Arabidopsis thaliana: one gene and its partner. The protein of the gene in region 1 interacts with the protein of each later gene in a biochemical or structural test. Each region holds a gene or a part of one and is shown in the gene's direction. Other genes may lie near its edges. The genes, in order: SIGE and ANK6.

Region 1 (15,460 bases):
ATGGCTGCAACGGCTCTCTAAAACACTGGTGCTTTAAACTGCAAAATATAACACATATATAAATCACGAATCTTTGTGATTCTGCATATATTGTGTTCTACAATTATTCTCATATAAATGAAAATTGTTCTACGTAAAAGTAAAAAGAAGGAATTGTAATACTAATAAAACGAGTTTTTAATTCTGTTGAATGCTTGTGTATATTGGTGACCTCTGGTTTTCTTGCACAGTATATCTTTATTCTTATGTATACTAAAATCGAAGTTATAAGAATGAATTTACGAAAGAAAAAAACAGTCTAATGATATTTTAAACTTCTTATATATCTTTAAATTTTAAAATTTTAAGATTTTAAGAAAAACAAGTTTTCAAAGAAATATATCTATAAATTGTGGCAAAACTAATGAGATGTTATGCTATCAACTACTATAATGCAACCATAATATTTCACAACATATTTTTCGTTATTAAATATAATCTTTACTTTTAAACACAGTAAGTTACTTTTTATAAGCAAATATATATTATAAATAATTTAAAATAATTTAAACTCGACATAGTTGGAATAATGTCATCTAGTATTTGCAACGTGCAAACATATTAGGAGAAATATAATGTTTATAAAAATAAATTTAATCTTATTTTACTACATCATGTTCTAGTTACTTTTATTGTTTTGATATCTAGAATTCAAATTTCAATTTTAGTTTCAGTATTAATTTCATTTTTATTTCTAAAATAGATAACCACTGATGAAAATCTATTGCTATTAATTTAATTTTTATTTCTAAAATAGATAACTACTGATGAAAATTTGTTGCTATCGATATAACATCTTAGCGCAGTCGTTCCAATAGATGATGGAGTCTGTGGTGAGGTTTTTATCAAAAAAAAAAAGTCTGTGGTGAGGTTTTTGTTTTCGTGTTCATGAAAAGCAGCCACAAAAGTGATAGTCTCGTCCCTCTCTATACACTTAATTCATTGGTCTTTTAAGGTCATGCAAACATAGACCATACACTTTACCATTCAGCTTTGTGGATGATGTGATATTAGATTAAGAAGTATGATGTACCTATCGGAAGAAACTATTACAAAAGTTTTTCAACCACAATAAATTTTAAAGCTAATTAATTTTAATAAATTGATGAAATATCGAAAAGAAATTAGTCGAAGAAACTGATTTACATTGACAACATCTTAATGCAGACGGTCCCTATAGTTGACGAAATATGTGGTGTCGTGTTCATACATTTATTGTTAGAAACTCTCGTCTCCATACATTTATATATAGCAAATTATAGAAAAGATGGCTTTCCCATCTAGATTTTGTTCGTAATTTTCGCTCCAACTCATACATGTTCACACTCTCCAAGTCTCCATAACTTCTGGTAAATATATGCTACAGTTTTAAGATATTTAAAAGAGATGAAAACAAAAATAGAGAAATCTACTCATTACCTCTAGATTAGACGACCGTTCAATTTTTTTTTTAAATTAGGTTTTACAAAAATTGAGAGAAATGAAACATGTTTGACATCATTCACTGGCCTTCAAATATGTCTTTTTCCATATTTAGTTCTTAATTGTGTATTAAAATATGGAAACTGGAGTATACGGTTTGATTTGGTTATCTCTGACATTTTCCCCTTTTTCTAGCTATGATATTTGATCATGTTCGTTTTATTTATCATACTACTCTATCACGTTTATCCGTTTTATAAATTTTCTGTGATATGATTAATTAATATATAGTCAACAGTACATATATTATATGTCCGGGCGGCATAAAAATATTATCTATTATTTAAATATTTGATTATTAAGTATTTTCCTTGCTTGTTTAGCTAATATACCTTGATTACATTTTCCAAATTAAGCCCATACTTTTCATTATTAATTATAATTGACTGTCCAATCCAAATAAAATGAGTTACAAACATTTTTTTTCTTTCTTTTTACTGGACAAAAAGAGTTACAAGCATACATGTAACATAGAAACGTTTCGGAAACAGAAATTCTCAGAAACACGATGGAAATTTACGAAAACGTGTTTCCTAAAATTTTGTATTTGAAAATACGATGGAAACTGATTTCCGATTTGAAAATGCGAAAAATCTTATTTTTTTCTTATTTTCAAAACTTAATAAACAAATAGTTTAGAAATATTCAGATTTAACTAATTTTGGGAGATTCGAGTTTTAAGATCTTTTTCCCGACAAACCAGATTTGAGATGTTTTATATGATTTTTGATGGATTAAATGAAAATGATGGTCTAAATATTTGATATTGGGCCTTTTAATCTTTATATTTTAGAACATTAGTTAAACTATTTGATATTTTTTTTTGTATAAAGTATATATATGTGTGTATATGTTTCCGAAACGTTTCTATTCCCTAATTTTAGAAAAAAAAAAAATGTTTCACGTTTCTGAAATGTTTCGCATCCGTAATTCTGTTTCTGTTTCCATGAAACATAGGTTTCTACTATAAACTAAACTAGATAAATATATGAGATAGAATTTAAAATATACTCTCTTTGTTTTGTTTAGTCTGATTTTTTAAGAAAAATACACATATTAAGAAAACGTATTAAAGTTGATTTTAAATATATTATTTTTTGTGTTTTATAATTTTCTATAACTTTAAACTAATGATATTCAATAAATTTTTATTAAATATAACTTGAAGATTAGCCCGCTTTCTCCAATCTAGATGATTTTGGTTTGATTTGGGTCTTTTTCCCCCTTTCTTCTCGCTTTTGTTTTTTTAATTTCTCATTTATGTAATGTTAAGTTGGACTGTTTACTCCATTCTTCTAAATTTTTACTTTAATATTGTTTTTGTAAATAATATCCTCTCCTAATAGGATAATTAATTATGAAGTTACTTTTTTTATTAATGTGTGGTTAACAATAACAACAACAAAAAATAAAAAAGTTTATCAATGTTTTGTTGACATACTAAGGAGAACTCCTTGATTGATTAAAAAAATAAAAGTTTACAAGCATAAAATTACTGTGTCCACTACCAATTAAACGAGATATATATATATATATGTTCTTGAATTCAATGCGAGAAATAAGTAAACCGGTCTCTATGAAATTTGAAAGTTGAAACCCTCTAAACATTTCAAGAAAATTAGCCAATCATTAAGAAATTTCATTAATTTGATCAATTATGCGCAATTCGTCTTGAAATCTAAGTCAATTATTCCTCGAGAAAATATATGACTGCATGACATACTGTAAAGTTTACAACTTTCTGAGACCTGTATTTTTGATAAACACTTATGTTAGGAGTTACGGAGAATTAAACTTCTTGTCTAACATTTGCTCCAAGCAACCCATAATAATTTCAATAATTTGATTGTTTTTGAGTAGAAAATTTTGTAACATCTTATTATCTAAAAACTTTGAAAGTTGATATAATTTTAAATTATAACATGTCCAGTTGTCCACAGTTCTATGTAATTCCACTTATGATGGAAAGAAAGAAAAAAAACTAAATTAGATGATCTGCAATGACGGAGACTATTCATTTATTAATAGTTTAACTTTGACACTTTCTTCCTACCAAAAGAAAAACAAAAATAGCTTTACACGTTCTTATTAATTAATTCAGATATGACAGATATGCTGTTGGATTCCAAAATTAAATTTCGTGATCGAGCTCTACAGAACGTGACAGAGATATTAGTATTTATTTATTTATTTTGTTAAACAGAAACGTTAGTTTTGAAATATATATTATTATTTTTTGCCTTTTTTAGTCCATTTAAAGTTCTGGAAGGAGCAAAATATAGTAGTAGCATACGAAGATTTCCACAAATAAAATTATGTAATCAAACATTCTGATTTTAAAAAATCGATATTAAAAACCTTAGCAAATTTAACAAACAAACTATTCCAGAAAAAAAGAAAACGTACCAAAAATAGAAGTTAAGTATTTAAAGTAGGATTTTGATTTTCAGAAAACTTGTAAATAGTTAAGTAATTTCATGAACATAAATAAACAAAAAAAAAGATAGGCAGTTAATATTTTCTACTAATCCAACACAACTCAGAATGAAACATAGAAAATTTAGATTTTGAGTTATTATTGAATAATATTTCTTATATTATCATATAATATAAAAGTACTATTATAGTCATTTCGTGAGTGGTTTCCAGAATGGGAAAACAGCATTTTTCAACTACAACTATTTGGTTGCCGTTTTTTTCAATCCAAACTATGATCTTTTGCGTTTATATATTAACCTGAACTCAAAAATAAATCAAATAACAAGTATGTATTTTATGAACTTTAGCCGATTTCAACATGTAGCTGAAACCATGTCATCCTTTATGTTTTAAGATTTACAAAATACACATAAAACCTGTGGAATATTTCTGATCCTTCATCATTAATAGATTGACAAAATAATGTTTTGGTACTATCTCCTTAAGAGTTGTGCTAGTCGATAAATGTCTATGCTCAAAATATATCATCCCTTATGCGATTCTCTGTTTGTGTGTCGCTTCCCATAAACGGATGCATGAGGCATCTCTTGTAGTCTTGTTCAATATATATATATATATATATATATATATATGTATGTATATATGTTTACCTTAGTTATATATATCCTTGAATAGTAAAATTATAAGAGACTATGCTGAGCAAATTAACACGTGTTATTTTTGTTTTGTCAACGAAGATAGAATAACTATAATGAGAAACCATATAGAATAAGTAATTATTGCTTTATTTAGATAGGTGGCTTATCAATATTTGATTGTGATGTGATCTCATGTCGGCCTATATAACTGACTCATTTGATTTGCCAAGCTGTTGAACTATAGTTTATTACATATTTTGGCTTGTTTGACATTGTGGGTTTCTCCTATATATTTAACGTTCACTCCAGGTACAAGGCATATATATTATTACTAAGCGGTAATGGCAATGACTTACGCGTGGTTATGGACGCTTCTCGCCTTTGTTCTGACATGGATGGTTTTTCACCTCATCAAGATGAAGAAGGCGGCAACCGGAGATTTAGAGGCCGAGGCAGAAGCAAGAAGAGATGGTGCAACGGATGTCATCATTGTTGGGGCGGGTGTTGCAGGCGCTTCTCTTGCTTATGCTTTAGCTAAGGTATATCTTTTGCATAAGTTGGTCGGTAAGAAATTAAGATCCGCTGAATTCAGTGGTCGCGCGGTAAAGATGATTAATTAGAGTTCAAATTTTGTCGATGTTCTGAATCCTACATAGCTGATTACACTAGAATTTTGGTAGTTTTTTTATGTGTTTTGCGTAGCTTCGTTAATCAAAGGCGATACTTCTTTTTGTGTTGCATTGGCTAATTAGTATGGTTCAGGGGGGTGTAATAATTATCAAACTTCAAATAGGTTGAATTATCTTAACCGTTGTAATGAGTTTAGAGATAGATCTTTAACCGTTATCAGATAGTCAATGAAAAAAGTTATGTCAATAAAAAAGTTATTTATCAAAACTAGTGCTCGATCTTCATTGGTACGAATATAATGAAATAAATTAAAGCAATGAACATGGTAAAAAGTGTTTCTTAAAAAATGTGGGTCCAACATTAAATTTATAAAAGAATTGGTAGCAGGCTGATTTTTTTTTTTTAAACATTAAAAATATAAAAAGTAGATAAAATGGAAAAAAAAATTTTTAAAAAAATATATGAAAAATAGATTTCAAGATGGGTTGTCAACACTTTATTTTTTTCTTCATCAAAAAAAAGGAAGAGAAAAATATGGATGCAAGCAAAAACAAAATCTGATAATTTGCATTATAAGTATTAGTTTTGACGATTATTTACAGAAATGTTGTTTTCTATATATTCCCTATTAGTTACTCAATATGTGAAATTAACTTGAATGCGGATGCAGGATGGACGACGAGTACATGTGATAGAGAGGGACTTAAAAGAGCCACAAAGATTCATGGGAGAGCTGATGCAAGCGGGAGGTCGCTTCATGTTAGCCCAGCTTGGCCTCGAAGGTCTCTCTCTTCACTTCATCTTTAAATTTATTGCTACACATTGCTTGATCTTTTTGCCACAAGCACATATATGCATATAAACATACGTTTTGCGATTTTGGGTTTTTATATGTACAAGATTGTTTGGAGGACATAGACGCACAAGAAGCGAAGTCCTTGGCAATATACAAGGATGGAAAACACGCGACATTGCCTTTTCCAGATGACAAGAGTTTTCCTCATGAGCCAGTAGGTAGACTCTTACGTAATGGTCGGCTGGTACAACGTTTACGCCAAAAAGCAGCTTCTCTTAGCAAGTACGTACATATTTTACTTCTTTTCTTTCGTAATACTTTTTATAACTTATGAGTAAAATAATCTTACGACTCTTATATACTAGATTTCTATTTCATCTTCTTAATATAAATGCAATGAACCTTGGCAGTGTTCAATTAGAAGAAGGAACAGTGAAGTCTTTAATTGAAGAAGAAGGAGTGGTCAAAGGAGTGACATACAAAAATAGCGCAGGCGAAGAAATAACGGCCTTTGCACCTCTTACTGTCGTATGCGATGGTTGTTATTCGAACCTTCGTCGGTCACTCGTGGATAATACTGTGAGTACATAGTTATCTTTTAAACATTGTCGACTTTTATTCTTCGCTATAAACTATAAAAAAAAGATTGGTCTCGACTTAACTACTGAGTTTAAGGATTATAATCATATATTTATTTACACAGGAGGAAGTCCTCTCGTACATGGTGGGTTACGTCACGAAGAATAGCCGACTTGAAGATCCCCATAGTCTACATTTGATATTTTCTAAACCTTTGGTTTGTGTTATATATCAAATAACCAGTGATGAAGTTCGTTGTGTTGCCGAAGTTCCCGCTGATAGTATTCCTTCTATATCGAATGGTGAAATGTCTACCTTCCTCAAGAAATCAATGGCTCCTCAGGTACGTAGCAAACTATTGATAGTCTAAGTAAAAGTTTTAAGGTGTGTTTAAACATTTTCATGGTGTTGAAATGGTATTATTTTGATTTCAAGTGGTATTACTATGCTCAAATGACTTTGTTTATATCATTGATCCCTTTGGTTTTGTAGATACCTGAAACTGGAAATCTTCGGGAGATATTTTTGAAAGGCATAGAGGAAGGATTACCAGAGATAAAATCAACAGCGACGAAAAGTATGTCATCGAGATTGTGTGATAAAAGAGGAGTGATTGTGTTGGGAGATGCATTCAATATGCGTCATCCTATAATCGCGTCAGGAATGATGGTTGCACTCTCGGACATTTGCATTCTACGCAATCTTCTCAAACCATTGCCTAACCTCAGCAATACTAAGAAAGTCTCTGATCTTGTCAAGTCCTTTTACATCATCCGCAAGGTGAGTTATGGATTACTTAGTTTTTTACTAGGGGTTTTGGTTTAATTAAATGGAGTGACTCGGATATTTATGTATGCTAGAATGTCATATATACTATTATCAAGTTGTGTTGGACTAGTGGTATGACTCTTACTTTCTATTTGTATTGATTTTGGATGGCAAAAGCCAATGTCAGCGACCGTGAACACGCTCGCGAGTATCTTTTCACAAGTGCTTGTTGCTACAACAGACGAAGCAAGAGAGGGAATGCGACAAGGCTGCTTCAATTACCTAGCTCGTGGAGATTTTAAAACAAGGGGATTGATGACTATTCTCGGAGGCATGAACCCTCACCCTCTTACTCTAGTCCTTCATCTTGTAGCCATCACCCTTACGTCCATGGGCCACTTGCTCTCTCCGTTTCCTTCGCCTCGTCGCTTTTGGCATAGCCTCAGAATTCTTGCCGTAAGCCTTTCTATTTTCTTGGCTATCTAACACAATTTCTACCTTCTTAACGGTTATAAACTCTTTTTTTGTTGTTAAATTATAAAAACATGTTTCTTATGATGACTTTTACTATGTGAATCAACAGTGGGCTTTGCAAATGTTGGGTGCACATTTAGTGGATGAAGGATTCAAGGAAATGTTGATTCCAACAAACGCAGCTGCTTATCGAAGGAACTATATCGCCACAACCACTGTTTGATCAATCCATAACACGAAGACTGTTTTATTCGGAGATGAAAAATAACAACTCAAACAGTTAACTTTCTACAACCAAATAAATAATTGTGTGTATATGAAGTTGAGCCTATGGTTAAGCTCTACTGAATTGTGTTGAAAACAAACATGGATATGTTACATGCTAATTTGTTATATTCTATTTATTGATTCTTGATTTTCTGCTTATGAAATTTTCTAATGTTTAGTCCAGTTTCTCTGCTGATTTTAGTGTCGCACAATTTTACATTTCTCAGTTTCTGACTACAACCAAATTGTTAATCTTATTTGCCCTAGGCAGGACCATCTCTGCTAAACCAATGTGAAACAGGGAATTTAACCAAGTTTCTCTAATCCGGTTCAATGCATGGTACGTGCATGGCTGATCTGCATCTCAATTTCTAGCCTTCTATACCATGCATCCATTTTACTCTTATCTTCTATGATCATCTCAAGTTCAATCTCTATCGTCAAATAGAAATAGGTATAAAGACCCTATTTCATTATTCATAAAGAAGATCAATATTCTTCTAGTGTACAAATCTTCTTCTAAAGTCTTGATGTATTGTAACCTATTTCAATATTCATAAAGACTGACCAAAAAGGAAACGAATCACATAACATATGTTGAACGGCAAAATATGTGGTCTCCGCAGCTAAAAACAAATATGGAGTACAAAAGAACATTTAAACATGACTAATCTTCCTCAGATCTGTCCAACGAGAACATCCTTGTATGGTGTCGGAGATGATACCACCACGGTCTCTGTAGCTCCCTCTCCGGCTTTGGAGGTTGTGTGTGCCCGGGGTTTGGCTCTACTAGAAGCTTCGTGATCAGCTTCCATTTTCCTTATTCTTTCTTCTTCAGCAACAAGAGGGAGATATCCTTCTCTCCCTTCAAGAAGTCGGTCTTGAGCTCCACCCCGTAGTTTCTCGAGGCGGAGCCCAGAGATCTGGACGAAGTTAAAAACCTTAACAACGTTCAGCAATCCTCCCACAAACAAACATATAGCCCCGGAAATCCCAAGCCAAATCCATCTTTCCCCCTGAAAATTCATTATTTACCGTAAGAAGCGGATTTTGAAAACCACTTTTTATGCGATAAATTTGGTTTCCAAGTACTTACAAGAAGCTTCAATCCACTACGAGATGACCCGGATATGTCGAGGCTATTGAGAACTGCGGAAACCAAGAATAGAAGGGATCCAACCAAGAAAGGAATGTAAACACACTGCTGTAGAATTTGAACATGACTATCCGCTCTCTCGTAGATTTGGCATGAGTTGTGAATCGATCCTATCAACCAAAGTAACGGACCCGCTATCAGCAAGTTTAATGCATGATGCTCTCTTCCACTGTATCCACGTTTTGTCTCAGCCTAAATACTCCAGAAAAAAAATACAGCGGAATGTGACTACATATAATTAGTCAGACACACATCAAAAGTTGTTATTCACAACATTTTACTCTATTACTTATGTTTACATGGACCACAAGTCCACAACTAACATTATGGACAATATCATATATTCATATTAATATGCCACAAGTACTTAGCTTTATCTTCAAACACTTGCTATAATTGTTATAAATTAATGTGATATCACCGAGACATAACCAATTTAGTTCTCTTATCTCTCATAGACTAATACGTAAAGCATATATGTGAAATTTGATGAACCAGGAAACTTTGTTACAACAATAAAAGTGTTATAATGTCAACAAAAAAAAAAAGTGTTATACCTGATGGAAGACGAAAAAGATTCCCAAGAAAAACACTACCGAACCCGCTATCTGAACCAGAGGGACTGCAAATTCCACTAGCCCCAGTTGCAAATCATACTCCATTAACCTTAACCTTAAATCACATAAACAATAAGCTTATTACTAAAACGTTTTTCTTAATCCCCCACATTGGTGAATATAAAGTTATATATATCACACGTAGACACATTTGAGCTTACAAATTATGGTAAATTTAACTATTAAGATTACTAATAATAATGTTACTAAATTAAGCAAGCTTCTTGAGATCATTTACCGGTAATCGATTCCAGCTAGATGAGCCACAAGATCATGAACATTCACGGCGGTTATAAGAACGAGAGCTAAGAGAATAAGGACGAGGCCGGATCTTGGTTCCCATGAGAATCCTGTCGCTGTGAAACCGCCGATGAGCACCACGGTTGCAAACAAGTATAGACCTGCGTTGATGTACTCGGCTCTGCTCCTCCCAAGCCGAGGGCCGTACGTTCTAATCTCACGCGCCGTCGCGAGTTTCACCATTTTATTGTAAGATTATGCGTTTAGAGAGAGACTGAGAGAGAGAGAGAGATCTGGGAGAGACTCAGAGAGAAAGAGAGAGCTTTACGTGGCTTTGTGCATGGCGTTCTTCGATTAGGAAAGTGGAACGTGGCAGATTGTGGAAAATAGCTGACTTTCGTACCAGACGTTGTCGTTTTATCCTCCAGATACTATTTTGAATTTGGGCTTCTTGTTGGGCCAATCGTAGGCAATCTTACAGGACTCAAAAGTAAAAAGTAAAAAAGTTTAAGATGTTAATGGATCATGACCATAAATTATGTTTAAATAAAATATAAATCTAAACATAATTTATGGTTATTCAAGTCTGATTTAAACTATTTATTAAGATCTTGTGTTTACTAAATTTTGACATCTGCAAATTACTATGTTTTAAATACTTAAAAATATAGATTTCATATATTTAAAAATTTGATGTGATCTAAAATAAATTAATAACGCCATTAACATTTCTTCAACTATGTAACTCCGACTCTTGCGATATACCAAAAGCCGGAAAAACGCAAATAGAAATAAAAATTATCTAAACAATTGGTTTAGGATTACAATATTTGACTTTCAAAAGCTCAAAAAATATGTTAATCGGTTTATAATAGGCTACGTAAACGCTTCTCGAGCCACCACTTTATTTGTTTTGGGTCCGACTGTTGCTGAGAAGACCATCCACGTGTATAATTCCTGATCCACAACCACAAGCCTTGACCCTTTTGAAATATCTTCTCCTCCACTATAAATTGGCCACGTCGTCTCTCTCTCGCCATCTCCGCTTGTGCATTCTCGCAACCGTTGGTTTTTGTTTAAAGCCTTGTTGGCCGTTGGATCTTCCTGAGATTCCAAACTTATAGTTTAGTTTATTTACATCTTTTACTCTTATCTTTGAGTTATTTGCACATATAGCTAAATACATTTAGATTTACTCTTACATTTACGTAAACTTTCTTTAAAAACGAATTAAACCATGATTGAAAAAAGACTAAAGTAAATTTTGACAAAAAATGTAATCTAATCAATAAATACGATAGATGTGTTGATTAATTTTAAATTTTCAATTATAAAATAATTTAGACAATAAAAGTTGACAAAAAATCAAGTAAATATATAGTTCACACTAAATGTTGGAACATATATTCGATTTTTAATAACATCATGCAACCCAATAATAAAAAATGAACATGTTTCCCAAAAGTATTCAAGCAGTAGTGGTAAAACCTATAGTTAATAACTTAAACTCAAAAAAAATGAATTTAATAATGTAATCTCTCAAGCTCGGATGCTTTACATGGTGTGATGGTAGCCAACAAGTTAACACACCCATCAAATTAGTTAGACCTTACATGTTGATCATTTATTAGTTAGTGTCGTTTAAGTATAAAACTCTTTTAAAAAAATAGTAATAAAATGAAAAGTGTCTTTAATTTTAGATTTGTATTTTTTTAGAAACATTAAAACCATTCACATCAGTAAATTTTATAAAGTATCTTTAAATATAATTTAATATTAATGCTGACATGTAAAATGTCTCAAATAAGCAAAATATGTCTTTCAAAATAGATAGTTTCTCTTATTCACTCTGTTTTTTCTTAACTTTTATTATATCTAATGTTAAAAATTCTTATTTTTTGTGATACGAATGTTTTAAAGACACACATGACAAAAGAGTGTCTTCAATTTTAATACTAGTTAATGTTTAAAAAACGCTTATAGAGTTGTGGGATGAGGATGCACTTATGCTAGGTACAGATCAATAACAAGGAAGAGGGTAGTTCGGAAACGTATTGTCTAGCTAGAAAAGGGGTTTAAATTGATTAATAAATTCTTTTGGGGGTTTATAAACAGATTCCAGGAAAATACGGCGTCACATTGTTATTAATCTGTGGACACCATAATTTACGTAGTTCATTGCGACACATATTTTCGTATTCCACTCCAATTTTTATTTTTCTCTACTTCTATTTAAAATTCGTGAACCAGAATCTAAAATCGAACGAAGATTCTCTTGCTCGAACAAAAAAATTCTCTCCGCGATACTTACAAAGGTACGCCAAAAGCGATTTCGAACATTAACTTCGTCTTGATTAGATCTTTCTGTGTAAAATTTCATTCAATTTATGATCAGTTGTTGCTCACGAAAGATTTCGACTTTGCATTTGAATTCTCTGTTATTCAAAGGAATCTGAATTTTGGGTTTTCCCGATCGCTCTTAAATTTTTCAGTTTCATGTTGAAATGTTGAATCTTTGATTGAAAGTTTCAATCTTTCATTTTGGTTCCTCTCAGTGTTCATATTAGAGTAAGTTAGTTATATCTGCTAAAGTTAGATTCAGATCAGTGTTCTGTAGTAAAATTGATGCAAGTTATTGTCAACAACCTGAGACATTTTTTATACTTATATGAGATATGTTTCTGCTTGCAGCACAAGTGAGCTAGCTTTGAGAAAGATTCAATTTTTGAGCCTTAAGATTGTGATGGGAGTTGTGTCTATTTCAAGTTCAGCTGCAAGATCTCCACTCGGGTTGGGCAACGATCTTTTGACACATCGGTCTTCACTTAAAAAGCCATCCATTGTTGCTTTTAAAGCCGATGATTCCAGCAATTCAGCTTTGATCATTCCTCCTCGTGAGCAAGTTTTGATTCCTGCTGAAAAGCATAATGAGAAGAAGAGAGAAGTAACGAGGAGAAAGCCTTGTAAAACCCCGAAAAAACCGCTTTCCTTGGAACATAATTCGGCTCCTTCGTGTTCGTTAGGAGTAGATTACAATGAAGCTGCTGCAAGACTTGAAAGCATATACAAGCTTAGTCCTGCAACAACCACATTAGTCGAGGATGATGTTGAAGATGGCGGCTCTAAAGCCAAAGTTTCACGGAGGAGAAAAAGGAAAGAAAGTGGTGAGGAGAAGAAAGTGGTTGTGAGGAATAATGTGAAGAAGGAAAAACGTATGAGTCTTGATAAACGGATTGCTTTGAAGAGAAACGTTCAAGAGAAACCAGTCGTTGCTTCTGTTGATAAGAAAGTAACAAAGAGGCAGCAAGAAGAGGAGAAGATCGAGAGGCTTGTGCGGGACTATTCAGCTTCTAATGATATAGTGAGCTTGGACTGGAAAAAAATGAAGATACCTCCTGTTCTTTCTTCTACTGAACATGCTTGGTTGTTCAAGTTGATGCAACCTATGAAGGTATTCTTCTCTTTTCTTGAAATTAGTATGTATTCTATAGATAGATGATGATTCACTAGGAAGCTGGAATCGGATTTTCATTGCAATACATGCTCAAGTTGTTTGGGGCTTTAACATTGTAGGCTCTTCTTGAAGTGAAAGATGTATTGCAAAAGAGCTTGGGAAGAGAGCCTAGGGAAGCTGAAATAGCCGGGGAGATCAATATGACTGCGGGTGAAGTAAAAAAGAAAATCGAAATAGGTAGAGCTGCAAGAAACAAACTTATTAAGGTGAGTGTGTCAAAAGATTTGTACCATTACATTTGCTTATAAAGGCTATTTGTTATGGTGATAACTCTTTGAACTTATTGTGTGTGTTTTTTCCTTCTATGTTGCAGCACAATCTCCGGCTTGTCTTGTTTGTTATGAACAAATACTTTCATGAGTTTACCAACGGACCAAAATTCCAAGACCTTTGTCAAGCGGGTATGAGAGGGCTTATCACAGCAATTGACCGCTTTGAGCCGAAAAGGAAGTTTCGTCTTTCGACTTATGGTTTGTTTTGGATTAGACATGCCATCATACGGTCAATGACAACTTCAAACTTCACTCGTGTCCCATTTGGACTTGAATCGGTTTGTTACCTACCCTCTTTGGCTCTTTTTCAAAAATAGTTTGTTTTTGCAGAGATCTTACATATTTCCTCTTTGTTGAAACCATTCAGGTTAGAGTGGAGATATATAAAGCAAAGACTGAGCTATGGTTTGAGATGGGAAGACCTCCAACGGAGGACGAGGTAGTTGAGAGACTCAAGATAACACCTGAGAGATACCGTGAAGTATTGAGGGCTGCAAAACCGGTTTTGTCACTAAATTCAAAACATTCGGTTACTCAAGAAGAATTCATCAACGGAATCACAGATGTTGATGGTGTTGGAGCTAATAACAGCAGACAGCCTGCTCTTCTCAGGCTCGCTCTCGACGATGTGGTTAGTCAATTGGCTCATCTTTATCAGTTTTAGCTTGTTTGTCTATGTGAATACTGAAAAATGATCACATTTCATTTTCAGCTCGATTCATTGAAGCCGAAAGAGAGTCTGGTTATTCGACAGAGGTACGGTCTTGATGGAAAAGGCGACAGGACTCTAGGAGAGATAGCTGGAAATCTCAACATCTCTAGAGAAATGGTTAGGAAACATGAAGTCAAGGCCTTGATGAAGCTTAAGCATCAGGCCAGAGTTGATTACCTTCGTCAATACATCGTCTAAAACCAAACCGAACCGAACTGAGCCGCCTCACTCAACCATTTGTGCATACTTGGTATGATTTCCCGACTTTACGAGATACTTCACACCCTCTTATAACCGTTGTATAGTTGTGTATGTAATAGCGGAGTTACTTATAGCTGCGTTAAATCGATCAGTGAATCGCAATCGTTGTATTATATCATTAGTATACTCATACTGAAAAGTTATACATGTAAAGTTTGAGATATGTTATGCATTATCTTCACAAAATTGAACGTAGTGATTCCTAAGAAAATGGAATCAATAGACGGGTTTGTATAGTAATTTACTAATTTTAGGATATTTTACTCAACAATATTGCAGGAACACTGAACCGGTGTGAAATTCAACCAATGTTGAGTCCGGTTAATTGAACTTTAAATTGCTTAAAACCGGTTAAGAGCGGGGCTAAAGATTCTTAAAAGAGTTGAACAGGAATGTTACACCGTTGATTCTCGCCTTCGTGAAGTCGATTACACGGCAACGACTTCGTTGCCCTTGTCTAATCATAAATTTTCTGCCGTATTCAAATAGATCATGATTGGTTTATATGTATCTATGGTTCTAATTAATATCCTCAAAGTTGAATTATCTTAGTCATGGTGAATACTGAAGAAAACC
Region 2 (15,460 bases), about 16 Mb from region 1:
GTGGTCGCCGTTTGCTTGGAAAGTAGATGAACAGAGGGTTTATATGTTCATTACACTCATTCCTCGTTTGTTTTATTCTCTATGAAGTTGTTCTTTAAAACTGGAAAGATTCTTATCATGTTAAATACATTATTGCTATCTGTGTTTGTATTTGATCTTGTGACAAAAAACCAAAAAACTTATTGATCAAACAGAAGCAACTTTGGTATCGTTTTTATCTGTATCATAAAGCTTTCTCAAGAAATTCTGATAATAGATGAAATTATGAGTTTTAATCTCAGATTTATAACCTAAAAATATCAGTGCTAGAATACGACATAAGAATACAGAAACTCCAGACAAGTTGGAACATATGTTATGCAACAACTGCACAATCATGTGAGATTATTCAAAAGAACAAAAAAACCAGGAACTCTTCATTCCCTTTAGTCTTCCTCAGCTACAATCCAAGGGATATATTCCACAATGTCCTCTTCTTCACTTGTATAATGTCTGAAGCCATAAAACACAAAGACTACTAATGAGAACTAGACAAAGCAATCTGACATAGTTGGAAAGAACTATGAATAGAGGAAATAATAATCTCATACAAACACCACTTGTTCCCGAATCATATTCTCAAGCCACAAACTCGACAATCAATGAATATAAAGTGGCTCCAACATGACCATTAAAAACAAATAGCTTTGGAGGATATTGTAATGACAAACATACATCTACTGAAGCTTGACTTCCATGATGTTCTTGGTCTTGGGAGGATATGCCAAGTAAACCTTGAGCACTCTCTCAGCAACAAAAAGCTGTTTTTTAGCTTCAGCATAAGCCTCAGTCACCTTCGATGGGTCAGTGAGATTCTTGTTCATGCGGAAGCCATCCAAGGTCCTTCGCTTACTGTACTCCCTAATGTTGTAATCAGGGAATTGACGTCCCGCTCGAAGCAAGGCACGACATAGGCTAAGAACTTCACTACTAGACACCATTGCAAGATTGGAAACTAACCCTTAATTATACAAAGCCTGGTTAACTGCAATCAGTATAAGAACACAAAGAAGCTGAGATTAGCAATGCCGAAAAGGAAGAGAAGTAGTCAAGATGATCAAGGGATAAAGCTATACACTTCGACATGTAACAAGAAGTTATATAGATAAGTGAAAAGTATTAAGGACCAGTACATCATTTATAGAGCAAAAGAACCTAGATTCAGTAACATTAGTATATAGATAAGTATTGATTTGAGTAGTGTATATAAGGTATGAGAACCAGTTGCTGCAACATTAGAAACTAGGCACTAGAGTTCATGAAAATACGCAAAAGAACCAATATTAACTAATCGCAAACGCTTAAAACAATCAAGAAGAAACCTTAAAAGGCCATAAACGCACTTAGTAATCCTAAACTTCAGTAAAATGGATGAAATTGCAGTCACAGCCAAAAGAGACAATACATCTGAATCATGAGAGGATCCGATAAGCATAGAATTTGACGATAACGAGCTCCAGATACATATACATACCGAATCAAATCGTCGGAGAGTATTAATTTCCCGAGCTCGCCGTTGAAGTTCTCCGTTCGAAGGTTTTGATAGCAGCAAGCTGGGTCGTTCGGGGGAATAAATAAACTTTTAGGTTTACCCAAAACTAAACCGGGAAAACTGATTTGGGAACCGGATCAATTTTAGATTGAGTAAGAAAAGAACCGGTTTTAGAATGGGCTAGACACAAAGGCCTGTTAAATTGGGCCAATATGTGATAAGCCAGCCTTTTTTAATGAAGGTGTATGAGCTGGCATATTCGACAAGAAATAGTAAACAAAACCGATATTTATCATTCTCTGTCACGCCTTCTTCCTTCTCTACACGAATTCGATTCTCTCTTATCTCGACGAGAAAACCCTACTGCGAAAAAACTCCGATCTCTCTGGCGAGAAGTAAATTTTTATCTCTGAGCTTGGTTTCACCATTTCTCTATCTCTATCTCCTCGCTGGGTTACGGTACGAGCCTCTCAAACTTTTCGATTCCTTGTGTTCATAAGTATGTGTGAAAATCCTTGCGTGTCGAGATTGATTTTTCTCTTTTTCGTTTCGGATTCATCGTTGGATTCTTATTTCGTCAATGTTTTTCTGTGATTTGTTCTGATTCATGTGTAATTTGTAGCTGACTTGATTGGTGATCGATGATTAAAATTTGTACTCGTTAGTTCCCCCTTGATTCGATTGATTTTGTCTCTGTGAGGGTATTTTTTCTGATTCTATTGTATTGTTTGTAGATTTGCCAATATTAGAGACTACAAGTGTCGTAATTGGATTCTGAATGAACTTTTGAAACTCTACACGAGCTGGATTGTTGTGTTATTTATATTACAGAGAAATTTATAGCATTTTTGTTGTGTTCATCTGGTTTTCACTAATTTGGTTTTCTTCTCCATCTTTTGTTGATAGGTTTGGTAAGGTCAGTGTTCTCTAAGGCTGAAATTTGGGGGTTTCTCAGTCTCGATGTGGTCGTGCTCCGTTAGGATTCTTCACAATCATTAGGGTTATATTTCTTACAAACTGATGCTCATTTTCTCTTCCCTGTCTATGGCTTTATCTGTGATCCTTCAAAAGCTTAGTGTCTTCGGCCCTGGTTTGAATCCTTCTTTCCCTTACTGCATCGCCAATCACTCCTTTGCCTCCCGTTAATTGAGTTGCTCTCTTTCAACTTAATTACATTAGTCTGCTTCCTTTGCTGTCTAGTCTGGATAGTGTTGCAAATCAAGTAGTATCTTCTTTAGACATTCTTGGCTGAGAGATTTACACTAAAAGCATAGAATAAGAAACCCCTGTTTGGTTAGTATCTACCCGAGTCTCGTAGTCCTACACAGATCCGGATCCTAGTTTCGAAGCTAGTTCTTGTTTAGCTGAAGCTCAGACCCAAAATGCTCCAAGAACCGTCGGCTGCATTCTCCCTCCGGCGTAACTCATTCAGACGCCGATCTCCCAGATCAAATGTCGATGACAGAGGCTGGAATCCGCTCCATATCAAAGCCAGAAAAGGCGATCTGAAATCTGTCAAGCAGCTTCTCGACCAAGGAATGGATGTGAATGCTCTAGCATGGGGACCCAAATCAAAAGGAGTGAGTGCACTTCACCTTGCAGCAGAGGGAGGTCACATTGAAGTCATGGATTTACTCCTAGAACGTGGGGCCAACATTGATGCTAAAACATGGGGCTCATGCGGGTGGACTCCTCTCCACGCTGCAGCCAAAGAGCGGAAGAGAGAAGCAGTGAAGTTTCTGGTGGAGAACGGCGCATTCTTGGCAGATGATATAACTGATACCAGGTTTAATCCGCCGGTGCATTACTGTCACGGCCTTGAATGGGCGTACGAGGAAATGAAGAAGCTTAACAGCGAGTCTTCTTCTTCATCTGGTGGAGACACATCTTCCAGTTCTGACAACTGAACTTCTTCTTGGTTGTTTCTCGGTGTGTTTTGTTTTGTTTTCTAGTTGAGACTACTTATCAGAACTATTATGGTTGGTGTTTGATCTTATGGGCTATGTGAAACATTGAAACTGCGGATACATTCATGTAATCTTCAGTGTGTTATTTTGCAACTCCAGTTTGATATCCTAGCCGAATTTGATTTGTTTAACCGGTTCTGGATCAACCAAAAATATGAGATAATCGGTTTTGGTCTCTTATGAATCATTAAGTCTAAAAATTAATGCAGGTAATTGACATAGTGTGATTTAACATAATTGACATGGATATGTATATAGCTAGATTGCGAGGATGAAGCAAAGTTTTGCTCTTAATTGAGTTAGCACCATATGTTTCTAATCATTGTCATTTGTGTCTTAGGACATGTTTAACTAATTAAGGTAAGGAATGCAATAATTTTACACAAATGACAATTATTTGGTCGATACCCATTAACAAGATTGGTTCTATCTCTTCAATGAATGATTTGGTCGATACCCATTAACCAAAAAGAAAACATCCGGATCATTACCAGACCCGTCGGTGAGATAGCGGGTTTGAAATACACGGTATTCGGTTTACGAATCTCAGGAGGAGGAAGAGAAAATAAAAATGAGTTTTTTAATTTCGCTCTCTTCTTAGATCCCGTTTGTTCTCTTTCTCACTTTGGCTGTTTAAGCAAAAACCATGGCTTCTCGCTGTGAGCTACTTCTGATCTGCGTCTTCTCTCTCTTAATTGCTTTTGCTCACTCCAAGACATTGAAGCGAGATGGTAAGTTTTTACTTTAATCACCCTCTGGTTTTGTGTTTATGATCGATCCTCCATTGATTGAATTTGTATAGCTCTTTAACAGATTTGGTAGATACCCATTATCCAGATTCGTTCTATCTCTTATCAATTTCCATGATTTAGCACGCAAGTTCGATCCTTTTTCTTTCATCTATTTCTAATCTGAGCTGAGCTGAGCTCAAATTGAGAAATATTAATTATGTGTGAACAATGATTGGATCTGATACTATTGGTCTCAAGAAGTTTGTTATATCTCTGCATCATGGTAGTTGGTTACTACTGTATCTTTTATAATCAGCTTTCCTCAAAGTTAATCTCTTGTGGACAGTGAAAGCTTTGAATGAAATCAAAGCCTCTTTGGGATGGAGAGTGGTGTATTCATGGGTTGGTGACGATCCTTGTGGAGATGGAGACCTTCCACCTTGGTCTGGTGTCACGTGTTCTACACAAGGAGACTATAGAGTTGTCACAGAATTGTAAGTTCTGGTTTCTTCTCACTTTAGTGTTTTCTTTTGTAGCAACCTGATTTGCTTCACTGAATTTGATTTGCAGAGAAGTTTATGCGGTTTCGATTGTTGGACCTTTCCCCATTGCAGTAACAAACCTTCTGGATTTGACTAGACTGTAAGTTACTTTCTAAACCTTTTTATTTGTGACATTAGGTAGATTGATGCAAGAACTCTTTGAACAGATATTTCCAACCTAGTTTGTGAAACGAGATCCCCAATAATTCTTTAGAGTTATGCTGTTTTAAGATGGTTAAATTGAAACTGGTATTGGTTTCTTTGATATTTCAGGGATCTACATAACAACAAGTTGACTGGTCCAATCCCTCCACAAATTGGACGACTGAAACGGCTGAAAGTACTGTATGTTCCTTGTGCTCTCACAACGATATGAATCATTGATTTACTTCCTTTCAAAGTTTGTCTCAATAAGTTGTTCTGAGACCAAACTCAGGATCCAATTCTCTTCAGAGTGAACTTAGCACTTACGTGACAGAAGTCTGTTATTTGTGCCATCATAACATGTCAAGTTTCCAAATACTTCACCTAAACATTTACTCTGTTGTTATCACTAGAAACCTGAGGTGGAATAAACTACAAGATGTGATCCCTCCCGAGATTGGGGAGCTGAAGAGACTAACCCATTTGTGAGTACCTTAATGTTTCTTTTTACCTTCTGATGATCGTCCATTTTTATCCACATGAAATCATGATATTTTTTCTTCTTTTCTTTTTATGTTTAAGGTACTTGAGCTTCAATAGCTTCAAGGGAGAAATTCCCAAGGAACTAGCTGCTCTTCCCGAGCTTCGGTATCTATACCTTCAAGAAAACCGTCTCATTGGTAGAATTCCTGCCGAACTGGGGACTCTGCAAAACCTTCGCCACCTGTAAACACCAAATGCCGTTTTCTACATATAGTTTGGGTACCCTCCAATGATTTATTTACTGAGATCATGTTTGGTTTGTGTCCCATTATTTTTCAGAGATGTTGGTAACAACCATTTGGTGGGAACTATACGGGAGCTCATCCGTTTTGATGGAAGTTTCCCAGCTCTTCGCAACTTGTAAGCATCCCTTCAGAAATTTCCATTTGCTTCTCTCTTCCGTTTGATATATTCTTTTATGTACTACGTTTTCTCTTTTTAAAATCTCGATTCATTAGGTACTTGAATAATAACTATTTGAGTGGAGGGATTCCTGCTCAGCTGTCAAATCTTACAAACTTAGAGATTGTGTAAGCAGTCTACACTCTCCATCTCTCTGCAATAAACTATATCACTAGATCTCTGATGTCTGTTTGATTGGTTTTGCAGTTACCTGTCTTACAACAAATTTATTGGAAACATTCCTTTTGCCATTGCTCATATTCCTAAACTGACATACCTGTAAGTCTTTGTGCTAGATCGCTGATCTTTCTCTTTGTCTTTGATTTGCTTACTATCTAAAAGAAAATATGCATTCTAATGGGATCATGATGTTGATGAAACCAGGTACCTTGATCACAACCAATTTACCGGGAGAATCCCAGACGCATTCTACAAGCATCCATTCCTCAAAGAAATGTGAGTTCTCACCCAATTTTTGAAGAGTTCATCAAAGCTTTGACTCAGACAAAATAGCAAACCCATCGAGTATAAGAATTTGAACAATGTGAACTGTTTTGTGTGAAATCCATCTGGATGAGTTTATGATGACTGGTTTTTCAGAAAAGTTGAATGTTTTCTTTCTTCATTCTCCACTCTGACGATAAGGAGTTCTGTTTCTATTTTGCAGGTACATTGAAGGCAACATGTTCAAGTCAGGCGTGAACCCAATTGGTACCCACAAAGTTTTAGAAGTTTCTGATGCCGATTTTGCCGTGTGACCGGATAGAAGATTCCAGGAAGGTTCTCGAGAAAACGTCTCAGAACCACCTAGAGATTGTTCCACTTTAGCCCTCTTCACTATTATTATTTTTTGTATGGTCTGTGGATTTGCAAATGAAAGAAAGCATAAGACTACAAGTTTTTATCTTCATATTGTATAGTTAGACACATTCCACTAATCTATATTTCTCCTTAATCAAATGATTATATATATTTAGATTGGAATAAACCACTTCCAGTATACAATAGTATGTGTTACATCGATCATATATACAATTGCCAAGAAATTTACAGTAGTTCTTCAATGTTTGATTTTCACCAGTTACCATCCTCTTCAAGAACAAGCAGGAGCATCAAAGGTAGGCAACACAATGAAAGAGATCGACAGCGGATTGATATAAACCGGAGATTTCACACCATGACGGACCGGCTCAAGCTTTGGGATATCTCCGGTGGCTGTCGGTACCAAAGGTTTACCATTCAAGAGCATTATCTTGCTACGCAAGTCACCGTCTTTGGGACTCAAGTGATACTCTTCTCTGTTCAAATATCCGTCCGAAGCTTTGTTTCCAACCCAAGAAACCTTGCTCTTGATTGTTTCCAAGAACGATTTCCTCTTCATCGATTCTGCTTGCAAAACCACCTTCACGCCATTGCTGACTGCGACTGTAAACGTCGTGTGCTTACTCAGATTGATCAGAAGAATCGTTATACCCGCCTAAGATGATAGATTTCGCAGTTACAAACCGAAACTAGAGGATAGTTTAGCGACAGAAAGATAGAGATATATATACACTCACTCTTCTTTTGGAGCAATGAACGTAAGCTCGTAGATACTCCGAGGCAGTCGTCTGAACGCCGAGAATGCCTTTACCCATCAAACGATGCCAAAGAAGCGCGCTGGTCAGATTGTTCGAGATCAAGAAGTTTATGTTATGAACTCGCCTACAGTAATCATGCTGGTTTAGGATTTACAGATTATACTTTATGAACTTGCCTGTAGTAATCTGGATTTGGAACAAACGTTTCCTTTTCAAGCAGACCGTAGAAACCTCCGACCAAAGCTTGTCTGCAGTATACTTTGGTGTTATGCTTCGACGAAATACCGAGCTGATCTAAGTACCTTAAGAGAAGAGTTCATTTTGTCAATAATAGAAACCGAGTAAAGATAGAATGTGGAATTTGATTCTGTCTTACCAGAAACTGTTAATGAATGTCTCGGAAACCTGACGGCCACCACTGTTAAAGGCTCCACCAGCTTCTCCAACCCAAGCAGCAGCCCAAGGTCCATGTTCTTGAATTGTTTGGTTCACATTCGCGAATAATTCCGAAATTCCGCTCAAGTAATTTGGATCTAGTATCTTATTCACTAGCTTAGGATCATTCCCTGCAACACTAAATTCAACATTGTTTAGGAATGCTACAAAGAGAGTCTCTTATTGATTTATTTTTCATATGCAGCACCTGGACCAAGATTGTATATATGATGAGTCAGGACATCAAGAACACCAGGCCCAGAGAGCCGAAGAAGCTCCGAGTACCATTGTTCTTCAAAGAATCCACCTGGAGCTACAACCAAAGGCTTGGTTCTAGAATTCTTGTAAACGTTCTTGATTACATTTTTCAGTACAATCAAGTCTTTCCCATAAAGCTCTACACTCACGCTTGCCCAAATCCCGCTTCCACTAAGCTCATTACCTAGTCAAGAACAGAGCTCGTGTTATAAGGACCAACACTAATATATAAGAAACAACATGGGCCAATAAGAAACAACATAAGAAAAGAGAGATCTAGTTCTATATACCAAACTCCCACGAGTCTATAGCATAACCCTTTGAGACTGTGTAGTTCATGAAATCCTGAGTGTTGGTATGATCCCAATCACCTCCCCACGCAGTTCCGTTGAGTTTATTTCTCCCGTGCAGCGCGTTCAAACCGAAAGTCACAATAGCTCTGTAGAATTAGAGTTAAGTCAATGTGAATTATGCTCTGCATAAAACCATACTAAGGTTTTATACTTACCCCGTTGCGTTGAAGAAATGGTTAACTTCGTCCCAACGTTTCATATACAAACATCCTTCAGAGAATCCGAACAATCCGTCGTCAGTTTTCTTGAACTGAGTGCAAGGAGTCTTCAAGTCTCCAACGTCGTAGATCACTTGATCTTGCAAGGAACCACCTATTCTTATCCTCAACGTCCTAAAAGCTAACAACAATCAAAGTATTTCAGCAAAAGAAGTTTATGAGAAAATGAATATTTCGGTTTGTGATAGAGGTCACAAACCTTGAATAGCTTTAGCAAGAAGAGGAGAAGCTAAGTTCTGAGTCATTTTCAAAAGATTAAAAGAAAAGGAGAGTTTTTAAGGCATATTTAAGATGAAGTAAGTAAGAGTCAAATTAAGCTCAAAGTTGTTTTATATACCAAATTGATGAGAGATGCGTAACCCCAAGGACATTGATCATAGTTGCATTTTTCAGGTGGCCACCAATCAAGCGTTGCGCAGATAAAGTTCTCATCGGTCTCAGCGATTCGACGTGAGCCGTCTATAACCAAGGTGGTTCGTTCCATGTTGCTACCAAAAGTAACAGGAGGAAGTAGAAGCAGACAACTCAAGAACACAACAACGTTGAAGCCCATTTTGGTTTCTTTCGATTGGTTGATCTGTAAGAAAGAAAAGTGAACTTTTAGAGCGATCAAGAATTAGTAATCAGTTACAACCAAAAACATATCAAGAAGATGGAAAATATAATCCAAAAAAATTAGAAAAGAGGAATAATAGAACTGAAACCTGCTTATCTTAACAAGCAAATGATGATTACAGAGGAAAAACTTATTAAGAAAACTTGGAGGCTTGTTCAATGATATAAGAATTATATTTCTTGGAAAATTTATTTCGAATTTTGAGTTGAAAAGTAAACCATTAGTGTTTGAAAATTTGTGTATATAGAAATTTTACTTAATGTTGGAGGTGTATTTGTTAATGATAATAATTTTGTTCCTAATTTAATTAGATTAGTCAAATGTTGGTGTCAGAGAAGCATGGATAAGGGCATTAGTTGACTTTTTGGATGATTTAATCATTAATTTCTAATTTTAATCTTGTAACCTTCATAAGTCATAACTAAATATTTATAATTTATGTTTCTCGAAGAGATGATATGAAAATCTGATTGAGAGAGAAAGCAGAATGAAAAAAAACCTCAAGAACAGAAACTGACCTCAGAATCAAGGATCCATGGAGAGAAAAAGCCTAGACTGAAGTTAGAAATTGGGACTTTTGATTAGTTTGAACTGTGGTTGGATCTCAAAACAGAGCAGAGGTGCTTTTTGTTCTTGGAGTTGACAACACTTCATCAAAGTCTCTCTCTTTTAAGCATGCTTAATCTAATTAAACCGTTTACACCAAACCGAAACTGTACCAATTTTTTTGTTAATTGATATTCTATTGAAAACCATGAGAAAGCAAATGTTACAAAGGAGCCCAAACACACATTTAGGAGAATCAGTTTCTAATCTAAGGAGCCCAAACACACAGTTTGAATCTAATGAGCCCAAGTTCATTGGCCCATAAAGAATAAAATCAAGTAACCCATCTTGACATTGTATTATTGTGGGCTCTGTCTTCTCAATAAAACATTTTTTGTTTTTGTTTTGCCAAATTCCATATCTCAAAGATTTATTTTAGGCTAAATCATGATTATCTTTTTCGACGGCCACATTATCTATATTTAAAATCATTTTCTTGCGATATAACAATTCATATATTTTTTGTTCGTGGGTCAACACCTTGATCTTATCTTATTCTAAAGAAATTACGAAAAGAATCTAGAGATGTTCATTGGCAAGAATCATTCTTTAGAAAAAGTACCAAAAAGACTTAACTTAAGGTATCGGATCCCTTAAATGTCATACATATGAATATGATCTCACAAAGTAAAGTCAGTTTATGTAAAAAAAGAAAATAGTTACAAAACTAATAACTCTTTGTTTTTATGTTAAAGAAAAATTATGGATTTTGTGCTTTAGCCAAAATATCCTCCGAGCGATTGGAATTCCTTGTATGATAATATACTTTTGAGATTTAATATAGTGATCTAAGGAGATTATAGATTGAATTTGTCAAATTCATTTTTCGTGACCGATTATTCATGCATTTTTCATGATTTTGATATATAAGAGAGATTAATGAGATTTTTAAACAACACCGATTTTTTATTAAATGCATCCAAGTGTATCAGTTTTATATAAATGAATAAATAGATTATAAAATTAGGTAAAACATTAAATAACAAATCGAGCCAAAGTAAATTAAATAACAAAATTCTTTAATATAAAAATCAGAATCTCCCTCTCTCACAAGACTTCTGCACAAGAAGATTTCTTCCCTCCTCTGTGTATTTTTGCGTGTTCTTTTCCTAACTAATCAAATCTACCTTTCTTCTTTCTTCATATTTGTTTCCAACTAAAGATAATTTGGGAAAGCAATTTTCTGGTACACATATATACATTTTTCTCATATTTTACTGTTTTCTTTGTTTTTTCTCTCTTCTTATTCTGTGGAAATTCTCTGAGAGTTAGATTAGGCAGCAATCTAAAGGTATCTTTTTTCTTAATTCTTGATTTCTTTTTTGATATACGTTTTTGGTTATTTTTGTGTTTGTTTGAATTGTGAAACTGTTGGTAGGGTTTTAAGCGTGTGGAGTATTTATTGCGTTACTGTGTAGAAATTAGGTCATTGTCCTTCAATCTCGATCAGAAGTCAAATTTTTTATCTAAAAAAAGATCGGAGTTTTTTTCATTGTTTTGTAATACAAGTGATTAATTTTCGTAACGGATCATGATCAAAATTCAATTTTGTCGTTTAGGTATTAATGTCATTGATGATCAACGAGGAAATATACACATATTTGATCATGACTCTTAAAGTCAACATTTGTCCTTCTTTGAATGTATTGAGTCATCTTTGGTAGATTTTTGTCTAAAGATTTGTTCTTTATGATGTCAAATTCTAGAATCTGATTAGTGAATAGGTAATAAAAGACAAAGAATCAGTTTAGAATCCATTAAATTGTTCTAATATGCTCTGTTCATAAACGTCGAGATCTTTTTGGTAATGCACTCTGTTTCCTCTACAGGTTTATTTTGTCAATGGCTGAAGAGAATACTTCAGAGGTCAAAGATATTGAGAATTCTTCCGATACAAACCCTCCGAAGATGTCTGAAGAAGGCTCTTTGGAAACAGTACGTGTAAAGGATGTGGAAAATGTGGAAGATGTTATAGCTGTGGTAGCCAAGGATCAAGAAGAGATTATACCAGAGATTATTGAAGTGCCTAAGCCTCAAGGTGGGACTTTGAGACGCCATTCGACTGGAACGATAAGTAAACCGCAGGTTCAGTCCCGTTATCGTGGGAATCATCGTGTGGGTTCGACTCATGATTTATGTAAACATGGGAAGAAATGTGATCAAGATGATGCTGTGAAGCCGTGGAAGATTGCAAGGAGAAAGAGTGTTGAAGGTTCAGTTGTGATCAAAGTTGAGACACCAAGTTCGACAAGGAAGTCATTGGGGAGTGTGAGTAGACAGAGTCCAGGTATAACCAAACCGGATAGTTCTGTTTCTGCAAAGAGAGATGCCTTGGCTGTGAAGAAAAAACCATGTGCTTCTGTGAATTCAGAATCTAGCTCCAAAGAAGGTAGTGAGATAGCGAAATCTGTTGATGGTTTAAGCGTTAAAAGCAATGATAGAGCGCGGAAGAATAAAGAAACCGAGAGTGGTCTGAGTGGTTCAGCTGTTGTTAAGAAGGTTCCTGCCTTGAGAACTGATAAGTCAAGTACTTCTACGGGCGTTGGAAGTTCTAAGGTTTGTGCTCCAAAGAATCTGAAGAATGTGGAGAAGGCAAAGACGACTCAGACAATTAGCGGTGAAGATGTAAAAGAAAAGACTGTGTGTGTTGTTGAATCTAGCGTCAAAGGTGTTAAGAGTGAAAAGCAACCATCATCTGAGAAGAAAACCATGAAAAGTGGGAATAAAAGCTTGAGTACTACTCCTAAACGTGGTTCTAGTCCTACAAAACAGATTCCTGGTAAAATCAGTACCGGTTTGACTAAGAAGAAAGAAACTGGCTCTGCAGACGTTGTTGAAGCAAATCCAAAACCGGAGAAGAAGGTTAGGCCTAAGAAGACAGGAGTAAAGGTGAGTCTAGCTCAGCAGATGACTTTCAAGAAAGGAAAGGTTCTTGATCCTAAACCCGAGGATTCTTCTCCGAGATGGATCAAGTTCAAAAAGAGGGTGGTGCAGGAACTGAAAACGCAATCCGAAGGGAAGAAGAAGAATCTTAAAGATAGAAGATTGGGTGTTGAGACGAAAACAGATTCTTGTGAAGGAAGTAAACGTGAGAAAGTTGTTCTGAGGCATCGAAAAGTAGAAGGGAAGAAGAAAATGATAACATTGTTTAACAATGTGATTGAGGAGACAGTGAATAAGCTAACAAAGGTGAGGAAGCACAAAGTGAAAGCTCTTATTGGTGCTTTTGAAACTGTTATCTCTCTTCAGGACACTAATAAGACATCTCACAAACCTCAGAGCAAGGCCACAACATCTGCTTCTAAGGTTAGACCTTTGGTCTCCGAACAATGAAAGAAAGAAAAAAAGACAAAAGTTTATTTGTGCATATGATCTATTAACATTGAAGATTTTAAACTTCAAGAGCGACCAAGAGATAATTTTCTTGTTACTGTCCTCGAAATAGCAAAGGGTTTAGTAATGTACTTTGACAGTTACTGAATTCAGTTGTGAAGCTTTCAAGTTTTATCTGCAAGTCTTTTTCCATACTCAAAACAGTTTTTACAATCATGATACAACAATCTTTCAAGAACTATATATATGGATCAATAATACTAGGTCGCTAGACTAATCTCTTTTCTCATGATTCGAAGAACTTGAAGGCATGCCGATATTTACCTTTGTTGTTTGATCAGACTGTTGTCTATAGATAGCTGCTGCCATTTTATTGTAGAGATCCATATTCATTGTCTGCATCAGCATGGCCAATGGAAGTGAGCTCAAGATTTGTATATCTTTGAACACTTTTCTCGAAAACAGTTAAAAGCGGTCTTACCTGTGCGAAAAAGGCGCTGTATGGATCAGATAATGTGGCTGAAGAACCGTTGGTGCAGTCTCTGTTACCCATAGGAGGGACCATCATTGGTGGAGGAGGAGGAGGAGGAACTAAACCTCCATAACCATTTCCACCACCTCCCATTCCCATTCTTGCCATTGTTGCAAGCAACGACATCTGAAACTGTTGCTGCTGTTGTTGCTGCTGCTGCTGCTGTTGTTGTTGTTGTTGTTGGTGTTGGATGCTGAGAACTGACTGTGGTGGAGGTAGTTGCGGAATCATCATTTGTTGTGGCAAGTTGGCTCTTAGGCTCATGAACTGTACTTGTGCTTGTAGCTGTTTCAAGTGTTCGATAACATCATCCAAGATTGAGACTTTATCCGCCTGCAATATCCGAATAACGCGTTTAAACTGACCGATATCAATATAAACAAAGTTCTTAAACTTAAAAGTGGGTTCTTCTAGGATAGACATTTACCTTACTTGCAGTAGGAAGCAGCTTCTGAAGTGTTCTCATCCTCTGGTTTATCCTATCACGCCGTCTCTGCATCAAAACTCAGAGTCAGTAGTTTGGTAATCACGGAAAGAGAAAAGATGGATTAGTTTTTACCCTTTCGGACTCGTTGTGAATCGCTGCTGCTCGTCCCCGTCGTCCATTAGATCTACCTGCTTCTCCTCTTGTCTCTTGTTCATCTCCTTCAGTATCTTGAGTTTCCTATTAAAGTCCTCTTTTGGTTATTTCTCCAGTCATCTTTCAGGAAAAAAAGGAAGAGTAATTTTGTTAGTTGTTACCGATCCAGAGCGGAAATAGTCTCTGTCTCCGGTTCTAGCTGTCTTCAAGCTCCGACCGGATTCAAAAGACGCCCAAGACATATTGGTACCACTCGCACTTGCAGTGACGCTGTGGCCAACTCTATGGCTCTCCTCTTGAACAGCGAACCATCGGTCCATTTCTTGAGGATAACCGCGTTTTCTTGAACAAGATCCATCCTTGCTCTCATAATTGTGGTTTGGACCATTCGGACTCTGCAGCTGAAACTTGCTTGGCTGCTGTAGAGCCGCTTGATGAACCACAGACTCCAAAGTCTCACAACCGTTGAGACTTTGAGTCCAAATAGGGTTATTCGAGGTGGTTGGTTCTACTTCGTCGCCTAGACCATGAACGGTTAGTTGCCCATTTTCCCATGTGAGCTCTTTAACTCCATAATTCGACCTGAGTCACGAAAAAAAAGAAATTGGTTTTGTGTTAAGACTTAAGAGAGAGAGAGAGATAAACAAAAAAGGACAGAAGCGTAAGGTTTTGTCTCTTTTTGGTGTAAACAGAGAAGAGTTCTTTATCAGAAACAGAGAGAGATACATGTGTTACTTAGGCCGCACGTTTGCAGAGAATAAACTGACAATTAAGCTCTCTTTTTTTTTGTTCTCTCTATTATTGGACCTTCTCTCTTCTCTCTTTCTTCTTGCTTGAAATGTTGAGTTCTTCTTTCTTCTTTGTGTGTTCAAACTCTTGACAATCACAGCGACAACTCATGCGGTGTATCTGCCTTTGATCCATATTGAAAGTTATAATAAAGAGGCCTCTCTCTCTCTCTCTTCTTGTCTCCTCTTTCTCAAAAATGGTCCCTGCAAAACGTCAAATGGTTTTTATGTGGACGAAGCACATGTGTGGCAAAGGATTGTTTGTGTTTTGCCACTCAAGTCCAGAATCATCTCTCCTGCT

The links.
Region 2: the proteins of SIGE (region 1) and ANK6 form a complex in vitro, tested with the Arabidopsis thaliana proteins (one study listed by BioGRID).

Annotation. Positions count from the first base shown.
Region 1 is NC_003076.8:8,157,155-8,172,614, reverse strand, and holds the start of SIGE (sigma factor E), read left to right. Parts: upstream 1-12,271; 5' UTR 12,272-12,440; intron 12,441-12,451; exon of another isoform or gene 12,452-12,693; intron 12,694-12,816; 5' UTR 12,817-12,868; coding exon 12,869-13,576; intron 13,577-13,698; coding exon 13,699-13,845; intron 13,846-13,952; coding exon 13,953-14,189; intron 14,190-14,278; coding exon 14,279-14,542; intron 14,543-14,623; coding exon 14,624-14,821; 3' UTR 14,822-14,873; exon of another isoform or gene 14,874-15,138; intron 15,139-15,163; 3' UTR 15,164-15,460. Other genes in the region: SQP1 (FAD/NAD(P)-binding oxidoreductase family protein), read left to right, coding at 1-21; SQP2 (squalene monooxygenase 2), read left to right, coding at 4,940-5,137, 5,899-6,010, 6,129-6,306, 6,435-6,603, 6,728-6,946, 7,096-7,383, 7,549-7,827, 7,955-8,068; AT5G24130 (polypyrimidine tract-binding-like protein), read right to left, coding at 8,790-9,128, 9,209-9,460, 9,826-9,940, 10,124-10,368.
Region 2 is NC_003076.8:24,625,341-24,640,800, forward strand, and holds ANK6 (Ankyrin repeat family protein), read left to right. Parts: upstream 1-1,846; 5' UTR 1,847-1,990; intron 1,991-2,437; 5' UTR 2,438-2,913; coding exon 2,914-3,438; 3' UTR 3,439-3,628; downstream 3,629-15,460. Other genes in the region: SNAP33 (soluble N-ethylmaleimide-sensitive factor adaptor protein 33), read left to right, coding at 1-26; AT5G61220 (LYR family of Fe/S cluster biogenesis protein), read right to left, coding at 717-980; AT5G61240 (Leucine-rich repeat (LRR) family protein), read left to right, coding at 4,145-4,229, 4,576-4,723, 4,800-4,871, 5,045-5,120, 5,208-5,242, 5,329-5,400, 5,498-5,641, 5,738-5,818 and 4 more; GUS1 (glucuronidase 1), read right to left, coding at 6,954-7,337, 7,420-7,519, 7,617-7,742, 7,817-8,006, 8,084-8,317, 8,424-8,572, 8,642-8,825, 8,904-8,940 and 1 more; AT5G61260 (Plant calmodulin-binding protein-like protein), read left to right, coding at 11,769-13,259; PIF7 (phytochrome-interacting factor7), read right to left, coding at 13,533-13,655, 13,741-14,124, 14,219-14,284, 14,351-14,455, 14,533-14,953, 15,098-15,099. UniProt on the Arabidopsis thaliana protein: Promotes anthocyanin accumulation through interaction with PHYA, especially in response to far-red light, high light and sucrose treatment, probably by triggering A3G2XYLT/UF3GT expression.